4 linked regions of the Drosophila melanogaster genome follow. The protein of the gene in region 1 interacts with the protein of each later gene in a pairwise test. Each region holds a gene or a part of one and is shown in the gene's direction. Other genes may lie near its edges.

Region 1 (3,198 bases):
TCCAGTTCGGGAGTGGTCTCATTAATGGGTTGATACTCCCGCTGAAGATTCCAGTAGTCGTTGACGAACAGGATGGGCAGATAGGTCTTACCGCCGTCTACGAACTTTACGTAGTCATCCAGTGGCGGCGGCACAGATCCCTCGGCCCAGTTAGTTTGGTCCACTACGAGATTGACCGTGAGATTAGGATGCCAGTGAGACACGATGGTATCCTTGAGATTCGCATGCTTGAGCTCGTGCTCCAACTTCTCCTTCTCGCTGGCCAGCAAGTTGTAGTTGCGGTTCACACGCAACTTCTTGAACTTGTTCAGCTGATGTTGCTGGTGGCCCATTTTGGTGGCGTAATTCGGGGCTTTGGGATCGGGACTCATGCCGGTACGCGTGACAAAGGCATGTAGGTACACACTGCCATTGTTCATCAGATGCTGGCTGGTCTTAAGCTTCAAACTGTGCGTGTAAATGCCATCTCCGTTGACGCCCGACGTCCAATCGCCATAGGTGAGGTCCTTCTGTAGCCAGAGGAGATTCGCCTTTTGCTGGAAGTTAACCACATCGGGATTCTCCGACAACCACACGTGCAGGTCAAAGTCCGTGCCGTTCTCGAAGTAATTCCAGGCCGTGATCTTGGGACCCGCATTAGCGACACTTTTGCCTTGACTGGCGGCATCGGGCGCAGGTCGTCGGAAAAAGGAGCTCACAAAGTAGATGATCAGGGCACGCAGGATGAGGGACTTGGTCATCGCAAAGAAGGACTCCATGCGGGTGGGCTGATTCGGCGGGGGTTGTTGTTGCTCATTCTGGCCTTCATTTTGGGCCAGCTCAGCGTTACCATTGCCCGCAATCACCTAGAAAAAACGATGAGAACCAGGTCGCTATTGTCAGGTGATTGGGGTTGAGAAAGGTTTAAGTTTCTCAGATACTTACCGCACCCTCTGCTGCGGGCTGATCTTCGCCTGCTTTCGACATGCTCTGTTCTCAAGGGTTTTCCACGCTTTTCCCTTAGTTTCCCGTTTTCCGCACAACTTGTGCTACTGTCATCGATAGGTAAGTGTTGAGGACCTATCGAGCCATTAGAACTTCGATATCGAAAGGGGTATTTTTCAGAATCTATCGATTTGACGCAGAATGGAAAAGCACGGTGTTCTCACTATAAAGACATACTTTTTTCACTAAGTCAAATACAAATTTATTTATTATATGTGACATATTTAGCAATACACATTTTTAGAATATCGTTGGCTTAAATGTATATCCCTTACTTACTTATACTTACTTACTTACTTATACTTATACAACCTAGTATTCAATTATTGTTCTTAGTAAAATGGACAGCAACTTGAATATTTTTGTATAAATTCAAAAGGTTTAATATCTGAAAAAATATTTCATAAATTCATTAAAAATATAATTTAAATCGATTAGGCGGTTTTTCAATAAAAAAAAATATGCGTAATATGTAATATTTGAACCTTATCTAAAATATAATTCTATATACAAGTTTTGATTTCAATTTATTTGTATACAATGCAAATAGCATTTTCATGCCATAATAATATAATTTTGAATTAGCTTAGCTATCAGTGAGGTAGCGTTGGGCTATAAAAAAACACGAAAAACTATATGTTGATATTGTAAAGTTGGTCTCGGTTCAAATGGTAAAGATATTTTGCATTAATTAATTTGAGTGTCTGAATATTTTTTACAGTTCCATTTAGAATGTTTTGGTATTTAAAAAATAGTATTTTGGTATATTTGCAGTGCTCGGCGGCGGCCACACTCTCTTTTCCCTTTTTCTTTTGAATAGCATTTGGTTGCACGTTTCCTCTGGTGAGTTTCCATTAAATATATTAAAAATAAACGAAAAATCGCAATAACGTGGCAGAATGTAAACATATTGTTGTTTAGTGACGTATTTGTGATATGAAAAAGATGGACACTGGTGCTTGTCGACCGGTGGAGCTGTTTCTGTCGAACGAAACATGCCAGCAAGTCGGACCTAACCTCCAATCTTTGCCCGCTCTTTGGGACGCACAAGTTCGCTAAGAAATCGTACGATTTGGTACTGATTTATGTTTTATATTGCTTTCAGTGACGCCGCCATTATGCAGATCTTCGTGAAAACCCTCACCGGCAAGACCATCACCTTGGAGGTGGAGCCTTCTGACACCATCGAGAATGTCAAGGCTAAGATCCAGGATAAGGAGGGCATTCCCCCAGATCAGCAGCGTCTGATCTTCGCCGGCAAGCAGCTGGAGGATGGCCGCACTCTGTCCGACTACAACATTCAGAAGGAGTCCACCCTGCACTTGGTGCTCCGCCTGCGTGGTGGTATCATTGAGCCCTCGCTCAGGATTCTGGCCCAGAAGTACAACTGCGACAAGATGATCTGCCGCAAGTGCTACGCCCGTCTGCATCCTCGTGCCACCAACTGCCGCAAGAAGAAGTGCGGACACACCAACAACCTGCGCCCCAAGAAGAAGTTGAAGTAGACTATGATCATCCGTCGACGGTCCAGGCTGGTCTTTCTATCGACAAAACCATGGTTAACCATCTAAGTAAATATATGTACATTTTGTGAAACCACATCTAATCGAAATGTATTGCATTTGCTGCCAAGGCACAGCCTATTTACACCGTGTATGTTTCTGTTTTCCTGTCATCTGTTTTCGTTTGTGGTCTCCGAAGAACGAGTTTCTGCGGTTTTAGGAAGCTCTTATACTGCAATTAGTTGGCCTCTCCGAGATCTCAGTTAGTTTTTCTGCTCTGTTTCTGGTTCTGTCTCGCCACCAGGAAGCGGGCGACAGCAGCAGGTAATTGATATTCCATCTGCCAGCGATACCAGACCCTTGCGGTCTACTCTTCTGCCCAAGGGAAACAAGGGGACTGGCTGGCTAGTACGCCGCGGATGGTCGAGCAGACCTACTTGGCCAAGCTAAGCCAAGTCCACTTCGAGTACAGTTAATTGGTTTCATTGACCGCCGACTAAGGCGCGCAACGGCTTCCGTGGCCAACTGGTAAACTGGTTGTTGGCGCTCTAATCCATGCTAGCACTTGGTCGTTGGCCCCGCGGAGGCTCTTATTATGAATATCTTAATAACCCAAGAACTGGCTGGTGACGACCCAAAGGGCCTGCCTGATAGGCAGGACATGATAACAAGCGGGAAACCGAGAAGAGCAGCTGCTGCCGGAGGACCAGGC
Region 2 (4,043 bases), on another chromosome or scaffold:
TGTCTCCATAATGGGCACTGGGACAACGGAGATCGGTATTTTCTTGGGTAGTTCAATGTTGCTGGCCGCTGTGGTCGGAATGGGATTGATGATGTCATCGTTCGTGATCACTTTTGTGGGTGAGACCAGGGAGTTCATTACTGGATTTGAGATAGGAGTCAGGGAAGAGGTAACAACGCTGTAATGAAAATATAAATATTGATATACAGCTGTTTATATATAAAATTAAACTCTTGTTACCAAACGTCAGCCAGAGCTTGAAGTTGAGTGGTGTTGACCGTGGGTGGAACCGTCCTGGAGCTCGTCGATGTGGTTGTGGTGGTGGTGAGACTCATGCAGGTATTTATGGAGGGTATGATGGGAATAATGGGCATCACCATTTGGACTTGAGGCTGGGGCTTGGTGATCGGTCCCCAGGCCTCCTTTTTCATGAAGAACTCCGGTAGCCACTCCGTTATAGCGTTTCTTAAAGATGATTTAAATGATTCGTTAGCTTTTCTTGCGTTATTTACCTAGTTTTACTCACTTGAGAGCCAAGCGTGGGTGGTAAACGTTCTTAGAGAGAAACTCCGCCGGTAGGTCATCATCGTTTTCAGTCTCCAGTTTTATGTCTGCACTTAGCGAGCTGTTCACTTTCGAGTCCAGGCTGCAGCGCGACCAGAAGGCCAGCGAATGGATGGCAACAAAATTGCCATAGAATTCGCAGTTGGGATTGGTCATAACACCACGCAGGTGGGGAATAAGCTCCGGCGATCGACCGCTGTACGGTCCCATGAAGATTCGCTTCTGGTCGTAGTCGTTGGCATGAAGATTGTCCCAGATGCACGGCGGACGGCGCAGCACCTCGGTAATCTCTTGAATCGACTCAAGGGATATGTTCTTGGAGATAACCTTATCCCCCGTCCACAAAATATCGATCTCGTTGTTCAGCTTGGAGCCCAGGGTATTGAGGTACTCCGATTCCTGGACCGTTGGCACCGCTCGCGAGGCACAGTACTGGGTGGGGCAGAAGAGAAACCTGGGGCTGCCCAGATGCGTGTATATCTCGTTGGTCACCGACACGTGCGCGTTAGCAAACGTCTGAAAGACCTCCTTGTCCGCCTTTGAGAGCTCCGACTCGATGTCGTCAAAGAGCAGGGCGTAGGCCTCACACCCAAACTGCGCAACCTGGTCCAGCTTGCGCTTCAACGTTGCGATCTCCTTGGGGCTGCTGTAGGTCATGTCCAGTCCGGGCGATAACGCGTAGTAAAAGGTGATGCCCGCCTCCTTGGCCGCTGCAATGAGACCTGCATGGAAGGCACTTAACAAAAGGACTAGCTGAGTTCAAAGGTTATTTACTGGAAAGGTGATCCGCCTCCTCAACGGTGTATAGCTCTCGCCAGTAGGCGCGGTGCTTGTAGTCGTCCTTTGGTGCGTACATGTACGAAGGACTGGACCCCATGCCCATGGATTTCAGCTTGCGGAACAGGTCCTTGCGCTGCTCCGTGGTCCACGGCCGGCCGTAGAATCCCTCGATCACGCCGCAGATAAACTGCCGCTTGCCATCGGCTTGGCTGCCCGCTTCGTCTGCCATTTCTAGTAGGCCGGGGAATCGGATGTGGCAATTTGCGAGGACCAAATAAGTCTTTCTTTTCTCCTCTCTTCTCAGGATTTGTATATCGTTTGGTTCGGACAATTGCACCTTGTGCTATCGATAGCTCAAGACATCGATATACTGACATCGCAATAACCATGTTCAGTCAATTTCGGTTAGAATTGGTTTTATAAATACACAAGGTGCACCCTGTTGTTTGAGCTACACGAATCTTTGAATTGCATCTAAAAAATATCAACCCAACTAATCAGGCACTGACTATAGTTTTTTTAGATCTATGAAGAAACTAATTGAATAAGTTGCATCTTCATGACCCATTACTTGATTTTAGCCCGGAAGGAAAAGTTTATGAAATTAAACTTTAAATATTTTATAGGAAACCTTAACGGCTTAAATACCATAGTATTTTATATTCGTGCTCGAGGGTGCGGCCACACTGCACTACACGTGCAATTGGATTGGCAAAAACAAAGCCAAAAAGCCGAGTAAACAATGAATAATTTTGAAATTCGGGAGTTGCCCGGCAAGGTAGGTCAAGTCCCGTCACCATACTATCCCTGAATACATTAAAAAATTCATCAGGGACGTGCGATGATCGCGACCAAAAATTTCGCGAAGGACGAGGTGATCTTCGAGGAGGAACCGTTCGTGTCCCGGCAGTTCTCGTGGAACGTGGCCTACGGCTATGCGGCGTGTGACCACTGCATGCGGCCACTGGAGACGGTGTTAGAGAATGTGCGCCGCCTGGCCAGTGATCCCAAAGTGGAGGTGCCGCTGCTTCAACACGATCCCACCGCCCAGTGGGTGGCCCAGTTCACCCAGTGCCCACGGTGCAAGGTGCGCTACTGCTCCGAGGACTGCCTAATGGAGGCGCAGAAGCGCTACCACCGCGTGGCTTGCATGGGCGCCTTCCACTCCGACGACACACATCCCATCAATGTACTGAATGAGACTTGGAAAAAGATGCACTATCCGCCCGAGACGGGTAGCATAATGCTGATTGTCCGCCTGATGGCTCTTTACCAGCAGAGCACCAAGAAGGAGGAGTTCCTCGAGCAATTGCAGTCCTTCCAGTCGCTGATTGTGAATCGCGAGCAGAAGATCTATCACAAAATGCTGGGCGAGAACTTTGAGCAGCAGATGGAGCAGTTGTATCTTGCGTTCTGCAATGCTTTCACGGGCGAGGAGTTCTCCATAGTATGCATATCCTTACAGAGTGCGTTAAAACGCGAATACATCTTTTGTTTTCCAGTTCAAAACACCGGATGCTTTCAAGACATTGATGGCCATTCTGGGAACTAACAGCCAGGGAATTGCAACAAGCGTGCTTTCCCAGTGGGTTGCCAAGGTGTCCGATCTACCACTAACGGATTCGGAAAAGGAACAGCTCGACACGGTCATCGACGGACTGTACGCCAAAGTCGGAGAATGTAATTATTTCTCAGATCACCTTGTTAGCCAATTATCCATATCAACATCGCCCCGACAGTTGCTGGCGAATTCTTGAATAACGAGGGCTCTGGACTATACCTGCTGCAGAGCAAAATCAACCACAGTTGCGTGCCGAATGCCTGCTCCACATTTCCCTATTCCAACGACATTGTCGTGCTCAAGGCCTTGGCTCCCATTCAACAGGGCGAAGAGATCTGCATCTCCTACCTGGACGAATGCATGCTGGAGCGTAGTCGCCACTCGAGGCACAAGGTCTTGCGCGAGAACTACGTGTTCATCTGCCAGTGCCCCAAGTGCCGCGCCCAGGCGTCCGATCCCGACGAGACCAGCGAAGATGACGATGACGACGACGAAATGGACGACTACGACGATGATGACGACATGAACTAAACTAAGAATTAATTTTTTATTTCATTAAAAAGCTCTTATGTACGTACATATTGTAAAATATATTTATGTTAAAGATTTTGAAGAAGTGTACAAGTGTGCTTGTTAATGTACGTGTGGCCGTCTTTTTTCAATTTGTTGCTGCCGGGGAAGGTACATTAGGCGCTAAAAGCTCATGCACACCGTTATCCAGGGGGACTTCCCTCACCTCTATGACAAAATTGCAGAAACGTGTCATCAGGCCAAGGTACTGGAGCAGATCTTCGTCCGGTATGACATAATCCAGTTCTTTATTAAGCAAAACGAAGTTCACTATCCCAAATTTGGCGCGAACCACGTTCTTTATGTCGTTTATAGTAAGGGGGCGAGGTTCACCCGGCTCCCCTACTATTATCATTTTTTTTATATCGCCGAACTGAAACGCTATTATCGTTCTTGCAGAAAGTACCATTTTCACTGAAGCTATACTTATTTGGTTTCCCGTTTGAAAGTCAATTTCGAAAATAACAATACAGACCAATCAGAAAACTATACTTTATATAGTACAAAGCAAAAAGAATTCTGACGCAATATACAAAGTAAACTAAACACAAAAAACACACTGGACCAA
Region 3 (4,463 bases), on another chromosome or scaffold:
TGGATTATATTCTTTGGATACTTAAAGTAGCCATAACATTGATAAGCCAAACTGAGACCTTCTCAAAAGCACGTTTTCGGATAAAATGGGTATTCAACCCAGTGTTTTCCTTCAGACTTGAAATTCAAATGGATGGGACGATGGAAGATTCGGGAAACTTGTGCTTACGTAAGTATACACTTCGCGTATGTATGTATTGCCATAGCATCTCGATAAGTTTACTGTAGAAATTTGTAGAACTGCAAAGTTTCACTGGAAGTACACGATAAGCCGAAACTATAACCTACCACAATATCCTTATCAGTGAATGCAATACATGTTCCTTTGACAAAAAAAACACGTCATATTTGTACGATTCAAAGGCACCTATTCTTGGTAGTAACTAACTAAAAATCCACCACATTCAACTTGAGATTCCCCATAACTCTTGATGTAAAATAAAAACACAATATGAAGTATAACCTTCTTTTTAAGCCGTAATTTATTCTGATGCAATTGGTGAGTGGCACCCGTTCATCTAAATGAAAACGTGATTGCCACGTTGGGCTCAATCGGTCACATTTTCCCATTTACATACATACATCTATCTACAAATGTACTTTTTACCCACTCCAGAGATCAGAAATTGATGATTGGATGGGCAGCGGAACCCCCATGTAGTAATAAATACAGAACTTTGAAATTTTGTACCCTCCACTGACGCAATTGACTTGGGATACTTTGATTGCAATCTTGGTGCTCAAGTGATGGTGCGTCATTAACCCTTTTCCACTTCATGTTACTATTTTTGTTTACTCAGATACTTTAGAACCTTCAATGCCGGTATCTTTGAACTAAATCTAGATGATTGTTCTATCTGATTTCACAATAATATTAAATATTAAATATTATAATCAGTTTTAGTATACAAATTCGAAAGGTATTCAAAAGTCTTGTATTCTTTTCGAAATAATGCAATGTAGGATAAATACAGTAGTTAGAGGGTTAACGAAGCAAAAACTTTCCATTCATGGGAATTCGTTGAATGATCTTCAATTGGCAATCGGCTAAGTCAGTTACGAGCTTTTCCGACAGCGCCGATCGCTCGTCAATCGGCGATAATTGGTTCAAGGTCGTTTTTGGAGGTGTGGGGGTAGGGGGGCGTAAAGAAGTGACACGTCCGCTAATAGAAATGCCATGAAAAACAAAAGAAACTCTAAGTGCAATTCCACATATAGCAGCACTAATTTTAGATTCGCTGAGGCGCTGGCAAATTTTTTAATGACCATTGAGCAGCCGAAAGCAGAAATTGCTTGGCGACGTGACAAATGCAGTGGCGAAAATAATCTCGCCCATTTCCCTGACATCTTCCTCACGACAGGGCACGTCTTGATGTCTTGAAATCGTTGAAAATACAGTGGGATATGGGGCTAAAGGGGGTTCACCCAGCAGTAGTTTCACTTAGATACATATCACAGGCATTAAATGATCGGTTTGATACACATCCATTATATTTTCTACATACGAATACATCCCAATAAAAATAAAAACGTACTTTGACAAGAAAGTACATCTAGAATTTAATTTTTTTGTATTTTTTTAAATTCAAAAATACGTTGAGATCAGCGTTCAAAATGCGCGCCAAGCGGCCGGCGCTGCCAGCTTGTCGGAAGCTACCGATAACAGCGCCGATTACAGTGCCGATAGGCGGCGGTCATCGGGAAATACCAAATGCGAGAAACGCACTAAAAAATCGCTGACGCGGCGGGCCAGACCGCATGCAGCTCCACTTCCAGTGTCCACCATCTTGGCCGAAGTTGCCACAAAAGTAGAATCGTGACGGACGGCAAATAATTGCAAAACGCATAGTGTTGACTATTGTGGAAAAAACCCAGAGCGAAAGGCCGCCAAAAAGAAGTTGGCAATAAAGCAGGCGGGGATTGAGTACCGAATCCAGCTGGGCCATAAGGTGCTCGAATTTGATTTCAATATTAATTCCAGCCGTGCGAAAGAGACAGCGCGTCAGCCGAGTGCGAGAGGGAGAAGCAAAAGCAAAGGCAAAGGCAGAGGCAAAGCAGGGTTGTCGCCGGGAAAAAATCATATTGTTAAAGTAGGAAAATCAAAGGCTACTGTGAAATCTTCAGATCTTCAGATTTTGCCAAAACAGGTCGTAAGTGATCAAAACTTATTCAAAGCCAACTCGATATGAATGCCAAGCGCGTGAAGTATTCCATGGTGAAGGAGGAGATCGTGCCCGTGCTTATCGAGCAAGATACCGAGGTTGATCCCGAGGAGGAGCCCGAGGAGGATGAGGAGCACGTTCAAGAAGATGACGGCCAGGAGACGCAATATACGTATGCCTATACCACCGGCGACGACGATGACACCGAAACTGCGGTGGTGACCCTCAGCGATCGTGACCACGAGGCGCTGGTCAATGCCGAGGAGGTGATTATCGATGAGAACGGTCACGCGGTGACCCTGCAGGAGCTGGTCGAGAACAGCACCGTCGAGGAGGAGACCATCGAACAGGGCGATGGTACACACACCATCCTTCATATTGTGCCCAATATTCATGGCGAGGAGGTCGAGGAGGATGAAGAGCTCGAGGATGGCGAGGAGGTAGAGCATGACGATGAGTTTGTCACCGTCGACCACGAGGGCGGCGAATTGGAGGTTGAAGATGACGAGGTGGGCTCTATTGTGTTCGAGAGTACCATCGACCATGCCGAACAAGATCCGTATGGTCGCAACAAGACCTTCTACTGTCCCAATTGCGGCAATTGCTACAGCGCCGCCGGCTCCCTGAAGCTTCATATGCGCGCCTGCCTGCGGCAGAGGAACGAGATCTCCACCGATGAACGCAAGTGCAAAGTGTGCAGCAAGGTCTTCAACTCGGTTGCCTACCTCAAGGAGCATATGATGCGGCACACGGGCGAGCAGCCCTTCCGCTGCACCCGCTGCTATCGCAAGTTCGTCGAGGAGAGCAAATTTACCGCCCACATGGAGTCGCACAAGCACCAGGACAAGCTCGAGGCCGAAGCGGTGGCCCTGGCCGCCCAGCACGGCGGCAAGAAGGTGGTCGTCAAGGAGTTCCAGTGCGCCTTCTGCTCGCAGAACTTCACCGTCGTCTTCGATGTTGGCCAGGTGAAGAGACGCTATGCCTGCGACGCCTGCCGCGATAAGTACTCTAATGCGGAGGCACTGCGGCAGCACAAGCAGCAGGTGGAGGAGAAGCGCGAGTTCAGCTGCGTACGTTGCGGCCGCAAGTTCGTTTTCGAGGGCTTCCTACAGCGCCATCTGCCCACCTGCGATGGCAGCATCAAGCGTCGAAGGGACATGAAGTAGAGGCGGCCACAACGTGATGAGCACTGGCGGCGTCGGCAGCAGCTGGAGCCGGAGCGTGATGAGCAGAAATCGCCGCCGCCAGTGCGTTACGTTGTTATCAAGCAGGAGTACGTAGATTAGGAGCAGTAGGATTAGCTGGAGCACGAGCTAGTTTCTAATGATTCGCCCATGCAAAACTCGGACACTAGCCGCCCGGGCCAGGAGAAAGGAGCAGCTGCTGTTTATCTACACGCAAACATAAGTCCACACCCATATTGTATTTTTTGGGAGCCACAACGGGGGCCACTGTCGTCAAGCGATTCCAAAGGAAAGGGTTTATCTTTTACCTAGTTGTACACAAATCCACACACACAGTTGTTTTTTTTTTTATATGATTTCAGGCCAACTCTGCGGTTTACAATTGAAGATAAAAGCATGTCGACGGATGTCGATCATGGCCCATGTATAGATATATATTACTTACTTATAATTACGACTACTTAATGTTAGAGCTCACGATCACCCGCTATTGTGTAATAACCCGAAACTCCAAATACTGACACACAAAACGAGCGTCAAATCGATGTTGAATTCAATAAAAAATAAAAATAAAATAAATCAAGAATGTTTTTCAATGGCTCAAGATTTCTTCATTGCTATTTTAATAATCCCTATTGAATCATAAGCATTTCGTAGTGTTTTATGTTGTGAATTTATTATTTTTACTAAGCAGCAGATTTTCAATTAGATTTTAATTTGGTGACACAGCCAACTGGGATTCCCCGCTGTTGGTGCCACCAAATCCATCTAATTTGGCCATTTTTGAGCACTGCCCGTGGGCTATATTGCAGCTGGACGGCAACGCCCCCGGTTTGGTAAAAATCTCTGGCTACCTCGGGTGGTCCAGCACAGGATTTGGATTAAACACACACAAAGAGAATCGGTATTTCAGCCAATCTGATCTGACATTATAATTGGTCGATACTTTCTTTTTTTGGCGCTTAGGCGGATGATCTACAAACAAAAAGGTGCGTGCTTAGGCATTAACTAATCCATTAACTAGGCCGATTTAGGACCAGAGCTTCAAGTGGGCACGCTTGGCGTACGACTTCCAGTCGGAGTGGGCGTAGAACTCCTTGAAAATGGGCGTGACCAGG
Region 4 (4,604 bases), on another chromosome or scaffold:
GTCGTACGCGCTTTGAGCGAAAATGCCGTATTTGTCGTTGTAGCGACTTCGTCTGATTCTGATCATTCAAATGCTCGCGGACCAGACGGTCGTAGTCCTTTTTCCAGTTCGGTTCCTGAATCATTGGCTTAACTAGGGAATTTCGAATTTTTAAAAACGATAACTGACAAATGCTATCGATGACAAAGTAGTCGTGGTAAAAATATTTAAATAATTGGTTTTAAAAATATTTCGATTCTCGATGATATAGCTATTATATATATCGATAGCTAATTATGAAAGCCGTGTACCATCTCCAATCAGCTGTTTCACCTGCTTTTCGCCGCCTGCTCGTTAGTAAATATCTGGAGTAAAAGCTAAAATTTACCTGGTAGCTCAATACAATTATAAATCACATTCGAAATTAAGTGTTAAAAGTTACGTATGCATTTTTTTAGAAGGACGCCTTTTAAATAGTACAATTGGAACACGGAGGGTCACTACGGTGTTGCGTAATTAAAGCGACACGTTTTCTGAGACCCAAAATTAAGCTGTACACATAGAATGCCGGTGTTTTGACGTACGAATCCAAGGAATACAAGAAACCGTCATGGCCAAGTATATCGCCCAGATCATCGTGTTGGGCGCCCAGGCAGTGGGAAGAGCCTTTACCAAGGCGCTGCGCCAGGAGATCGCCGCATCTCAGGAAGCAGCACGACGGGCGGGTGGTGGCAAGCAGGGCGACAAGAGCGCCGAGTCCAACCTGCGCACAGGTGAGTCTTGGACACAGTCATGCTATCTATTTCACTATTTACACCTACTTATCAATGCAGGCATGACGCTGGAGGAAGCCAAGCAGATCCTGAATATAGATGACCCCAAAAACGTGGACGCTATCACCAAGAACTACGAGCATCTGTTTCAAGTCAACGAACGCTCCAAAGGCGGCTCCTTCTATATCCAGTCAAAGGTTTTCCGGGCGAAAGAGCGGCTGGACCATGAGATTAAGGCCCATGAGCAGCCGAGGTCGTCAAATACGGAAGCAGCGCAAGATACGGCGGAGGAGTCTCAGAGCAGATCGCGGCAGCGACGCTGAGTATCCTTGTTGTCCCAATCGAACTAATTAGCTGATAATTGATTTAAAAACTACGTGTTAAGTACAAAAAATGAAAGTCTGTTGCTGTAAATAGAGATTTACGAACATGAAGACAAGTGTAAACACTTTCTGAGAAGAGCTCGACTTTCCAGGAACACAAATGTAATGGAATTCTTGTAAACTAACACGGATTAGCTCAGGCGGTTAGGTATAAATATTTTACTCTCAGGCCAGGTAACTAGAATCGGATCGATTTTAAGATCACGCTTCTTGGGGTTTGAAAATAAAAATATTTTAAGTATCAACAAAGTTCCATGTCTTGATCTAGCTATAGCTAAAATTATGCTGATGTAAATAAACTAATGCTGCAATGGGCTTCCAAACTTTCGCAATAGGAACTTGGAAATTTTAAAATCAGCTGTTGCAGAAGCCAGAGATGCGCGAACATATCGGTAGAGCTATCGACCGACAGCAGTCAGCTGTTCGATGGGCAGCACTGGCCGAGAACAAACCGAAAATAATCATTACTGGTGCGCAGTTGTTGTTTCCATAGACGTGTCAATTGTTTGTCTAATTGCGCCAGCAGCAGCAAAACGACGCCAAAGCACACATGCGCATTCCAGCGCACAAATATCCCACCCACGAAAATCGCAATACCATCGCCCCAGCAACGCGGAGGAGGGGGTGGACTCCACTTTTCCAGGGAGAAAGCGAACGTACGCATACGAGAATCCGAATCTGAGAATCCCCAATCCCCGAGTCCAAGAGAGCGAAGACGACACTCCAGCTCGGTATTTGAGACATCGACATTCCGCTGCTCCGTCAGTTTTCAGAGGACCTTCGAAGTGGGCAGCCGAAAATCCAAAAGTCTCCTGGCAGCGAACGGAAAACCAAAGAGAAAAAAAATAAGAAAAGCAAAATCCAGTTGGCAGAGAAAAGCTCAAGTGGTAATTGGCTGCGACTCAAATTACTTTAGTTGTGCAAATAGCGAATAGCTATAAACCCAAAAAGAAAAGAAACTCGAGCGTGGCGTGTGTCCATGTGGAAAATCGATCGAATCGCAGAGTATTTATCGTGTAATTGTGCCCAATAGCCACGCAATTCCCAGTCCGTTTTATTGATTTTCCCCACCGCCTCGCCAAGTAGCAATAAAAACCATTCTTTTACCTTCCATCTCGGCCATCTGGACAAAGCAATTGCAGCGTGAAAAATTCAAATTTCAAGTTAAATGCGAGAATTTACATAACGCCGAGCGTTGAAAGTGAAACTTCTGTGGTGCGAACGAAACACTGAAAGAAAGGAAAACCCATTACAGGACATTCTATCTGCCTCTGCCCAGTGTAGTAAAAGTTGGAGAGCCAGGAGCGGGAGAGCAGTGGAAAACCGTGAGAACCGCGAGAACAAGAGAGCCTAGAGAGCGTTGAACGTGCGCACGTCTTCCTGGTCAGGACACACCACCAATCCTTGAGAGAAACAGCAGGAGCCAACATGTTTTCGGGCCTAACAAATCAATTCACCTCGCTGGTGGGCGCCGTTAAAGGAGGCGCTGGCGACGAGGATGTGCCCGCGCCCACAGGAGATGCGCCCGCAGCCGCTCCAGCAGCATCCACATCCGTGGAGGCCACGGCCTCCTCCGCCGTGGACCCGGAGGCAGCTGCCGCAGCCGGTGGCGAAGGACTCGAGGGCGAGGAAGCTGGCAAAAGGTAAGTGTGAATCGAACAATGCGCGCTGGGTAATCCTTCGGCCCATCTTTCTAGTCTTCCGTGACTGTGACTCCGAAATCCAGACTTCAGTCGACCTGACATGGCGTGCCAATGTGACCTTGCTATTTGTACCTTTTAACATTTCGCTCCGTGGAGTTCCTACCCTCCAGCAATCGCTCCTTTACGGTACATTCATCATTGTTTTGACACACTCCGCTTATCCTGCATTTTACGTTGCATTCCGCACGCTCTCACGTGACTGAACATAATTGCTTAAACTGGAATCCAAATGCCCGATAATTTCACTCCCATATATATCCTATATGGCTCCGCTTCCTTGCGAAGCTAGTCGACTGACTTTCCTGAACATTTCTGGCTAGCAATTTCGATTTGAAAATGCCAGGCCAATTTGTGGTTTAAATGGATTTCGTTTGATTATTCTTGAAATGGCAAATCGCATTGTGAAGACTGTATTTCTTTTTAATTGTTGAAATATTTGAATCGTTATAGAATATAGCATAAATCAGTCTTCAAAAGAGTCTCTCAGCTTGGCATATATGTATTACTTAGTATGGTAGACTGTCAGTAGTGTAATTCTCCAAGCGAATTTATTTGCCCTAATTTTGTTGACCAAAGGAAATTCCTTGAACTGTCAGCAAACGGAAAAGAGCAACTCCATGCTTACTAACTTCCGACTGGTTTCTTTTCTTTTACTTCCCTCAAACTGAGTGGATAGGACTGCCCTATTTCTTTTCGACCTCGCCGTATCATTTGACCTCGTCCTTCGCGCTTCTTCTGGGTACTTCATCAATCTCTAGCAGGCATTCCACACCCTAGTTATGTTGAGTTTGCTTTATCCCACAAGAGTGTTACTGCCGTTTCAGCCTTCATTTCCTCGAAATAAATGAAAGTAAATTCCAATTATTCGGCTGATATTTTGGACAAGTTAAGACCGCTGTGATGGCCCGTTAATGCCACAAGTTGCTGGCTAATCCGGAAGATCAGCCAAAGTCAACTAACGTTGTTTTTCACTTAATTCAGCTCATTAATATTTAATTGTGCGAGTGTGCGCTGGATGCCAGGATGTCAATCCGGGGCACGTTTTTCCAACCAGCTGCCAACAGCTGGTGTCGTCGTGGTCGTCGTCGTCGTTGTTGTCTTTGAAACCCAAGTCCGTGATGTGTCACGCCTTTTCAACGGGCCGCCGTTCTCCTTCTGCCCCGCAAGTCCTTTCACTATCAATTGACATTGACGAGTTGGACCACCTTCGTGTTGTTCTTTGTATCTCGTCTTTATTTTACTCTTTTTGTTTTCTGTACGTTCCAATGAAAATAATTTGCACGTGGCTCCTGCATAACCACAAAATGTTGAGTCATTCGAGCTGGCGGCGCCCTCGTCCGCTTTCACCACTCGTACACTCTGGTTTTTTGACCATCTTGCTGTGTGCGAAATACTGTCACCAATGCCGATGGGTAGAGGTGGAGCATTCGGAAGGGGGCTGGCTCGGAGGCAGGATGTGTTCCTTTTGGTGGTTGCTTTCCAGTTTCCAGTTGACTTTTGCTCGTTTTGCGGATCGATACGAGAGAGCCGTGCGAAAGGACGCTCTATGCTTCTCTCTGCGAAATGTGCACATGTGATGAGGCCACAACGAGTAGAAACGACGATGGCGCCCGCTCTAGAGGATTTGCTACTCCACGACCCGACCCGCCCCCTTGTTGTCCTTTTGTCAGCCTATTTAATAATTGTGCATTCAGAAAACGTGTGTGCTGGCTTGTTGCCTGTCTTTACGCCTGTGCCTGTGCCCCTGCCACTGTCCTTTTCATTTC

The links.
Region 2: the proteins of RpL40 (region 1) and Smyd5 interact in a two-hybrid assay, tested with the Drosophila melanogaster proteins (one large-scale study listed by BioGRID).
Region 3: the proteins of RpL40 (region 1) and CG3847 interact in a two-hybrid assay, tested with the Drosophila melanogaster proteins (one large-scale study listed by BioGRID).
Region 4: the proteins of RpL40 (region 1) and Sap47 interact in a two-hybrid assay, tested with the Drosophila melanogaster proteins (one large-scale study listed by BioGRID).

The regions. Positions count from the first base shown.
Region 1 is NT_033779.5:4,225,923-4,229,120, forward strand, and holds RpL40 (ribosomal protein L40), read left to right. Parts: upstream 1-1,776; 5' UTR 1,777-1,885; intron 1,886-2,089; 5' UTR 2,090-2,102; coding exon 2,103-2,489; 3' UTR 2,490-2,639; downstream 2,640-3,198. Other genes in the region: CG3702 (uncharacterized protein), read right to left, coding at 1-845, 925-966.
Region 2 is NT_033777.3:21,216,752-21,220,794, reverse strand, and holds Smyd5 (SET and MYND domain containing, class 5), read left to right. Parts: upstream 1-2,003; 5' UTR 2,004-2,086; coding exon 2,087-2,122; intron 2,123-2,176; coding exon 2,177-2,791; intron 2,792-2,846; coding exon 2,847-3,024; intron 3,025-3,083; coding exon 3,084-3,436; 3' UTR 3,437-3,527; downstream 3,528-4,043. Other genes in the region: Oga (O-GlcNAcase), read right to left, coding at 1-178, 241-465, 527-1,286, 1,339-1,573.
Region 3 is NC_004354.4:6,345,321-6,349,783, forward strand, and holds CG3847 (uncharacterized protein), read left to right. Parts: upstream 1-1,782; 5' UTR 1,783-2,184; coding exon 2,185-3,327; 3' UTR 3,328-3,916; downstream 3,917-4,463. Other genes in the region: ND-B16.6 (NADH dehydrogenase (ubiquinone) B16.6 subunit), read right to left, coding at 4,376-4,463.
Region 4 is NT_033777.3:15,933,563-15,938,166, forward strand, and holds the start of Sap47 (Synapse-associated protein 47kD), read left to right. Parts: upstream 1-1,556; 5' UTR 1,557-2,022; exon of another isoform or gene 2,023-2,268; 5' UTR 2,269-2,563; coding exon 2,564-2,778; intron 2,779-4,604. Other genes in the region: CG5478 (uncharacterized protein), read right to left, coding at 1-124; blp (black pearl), read left to right, coding at 590-752, 813-1,075.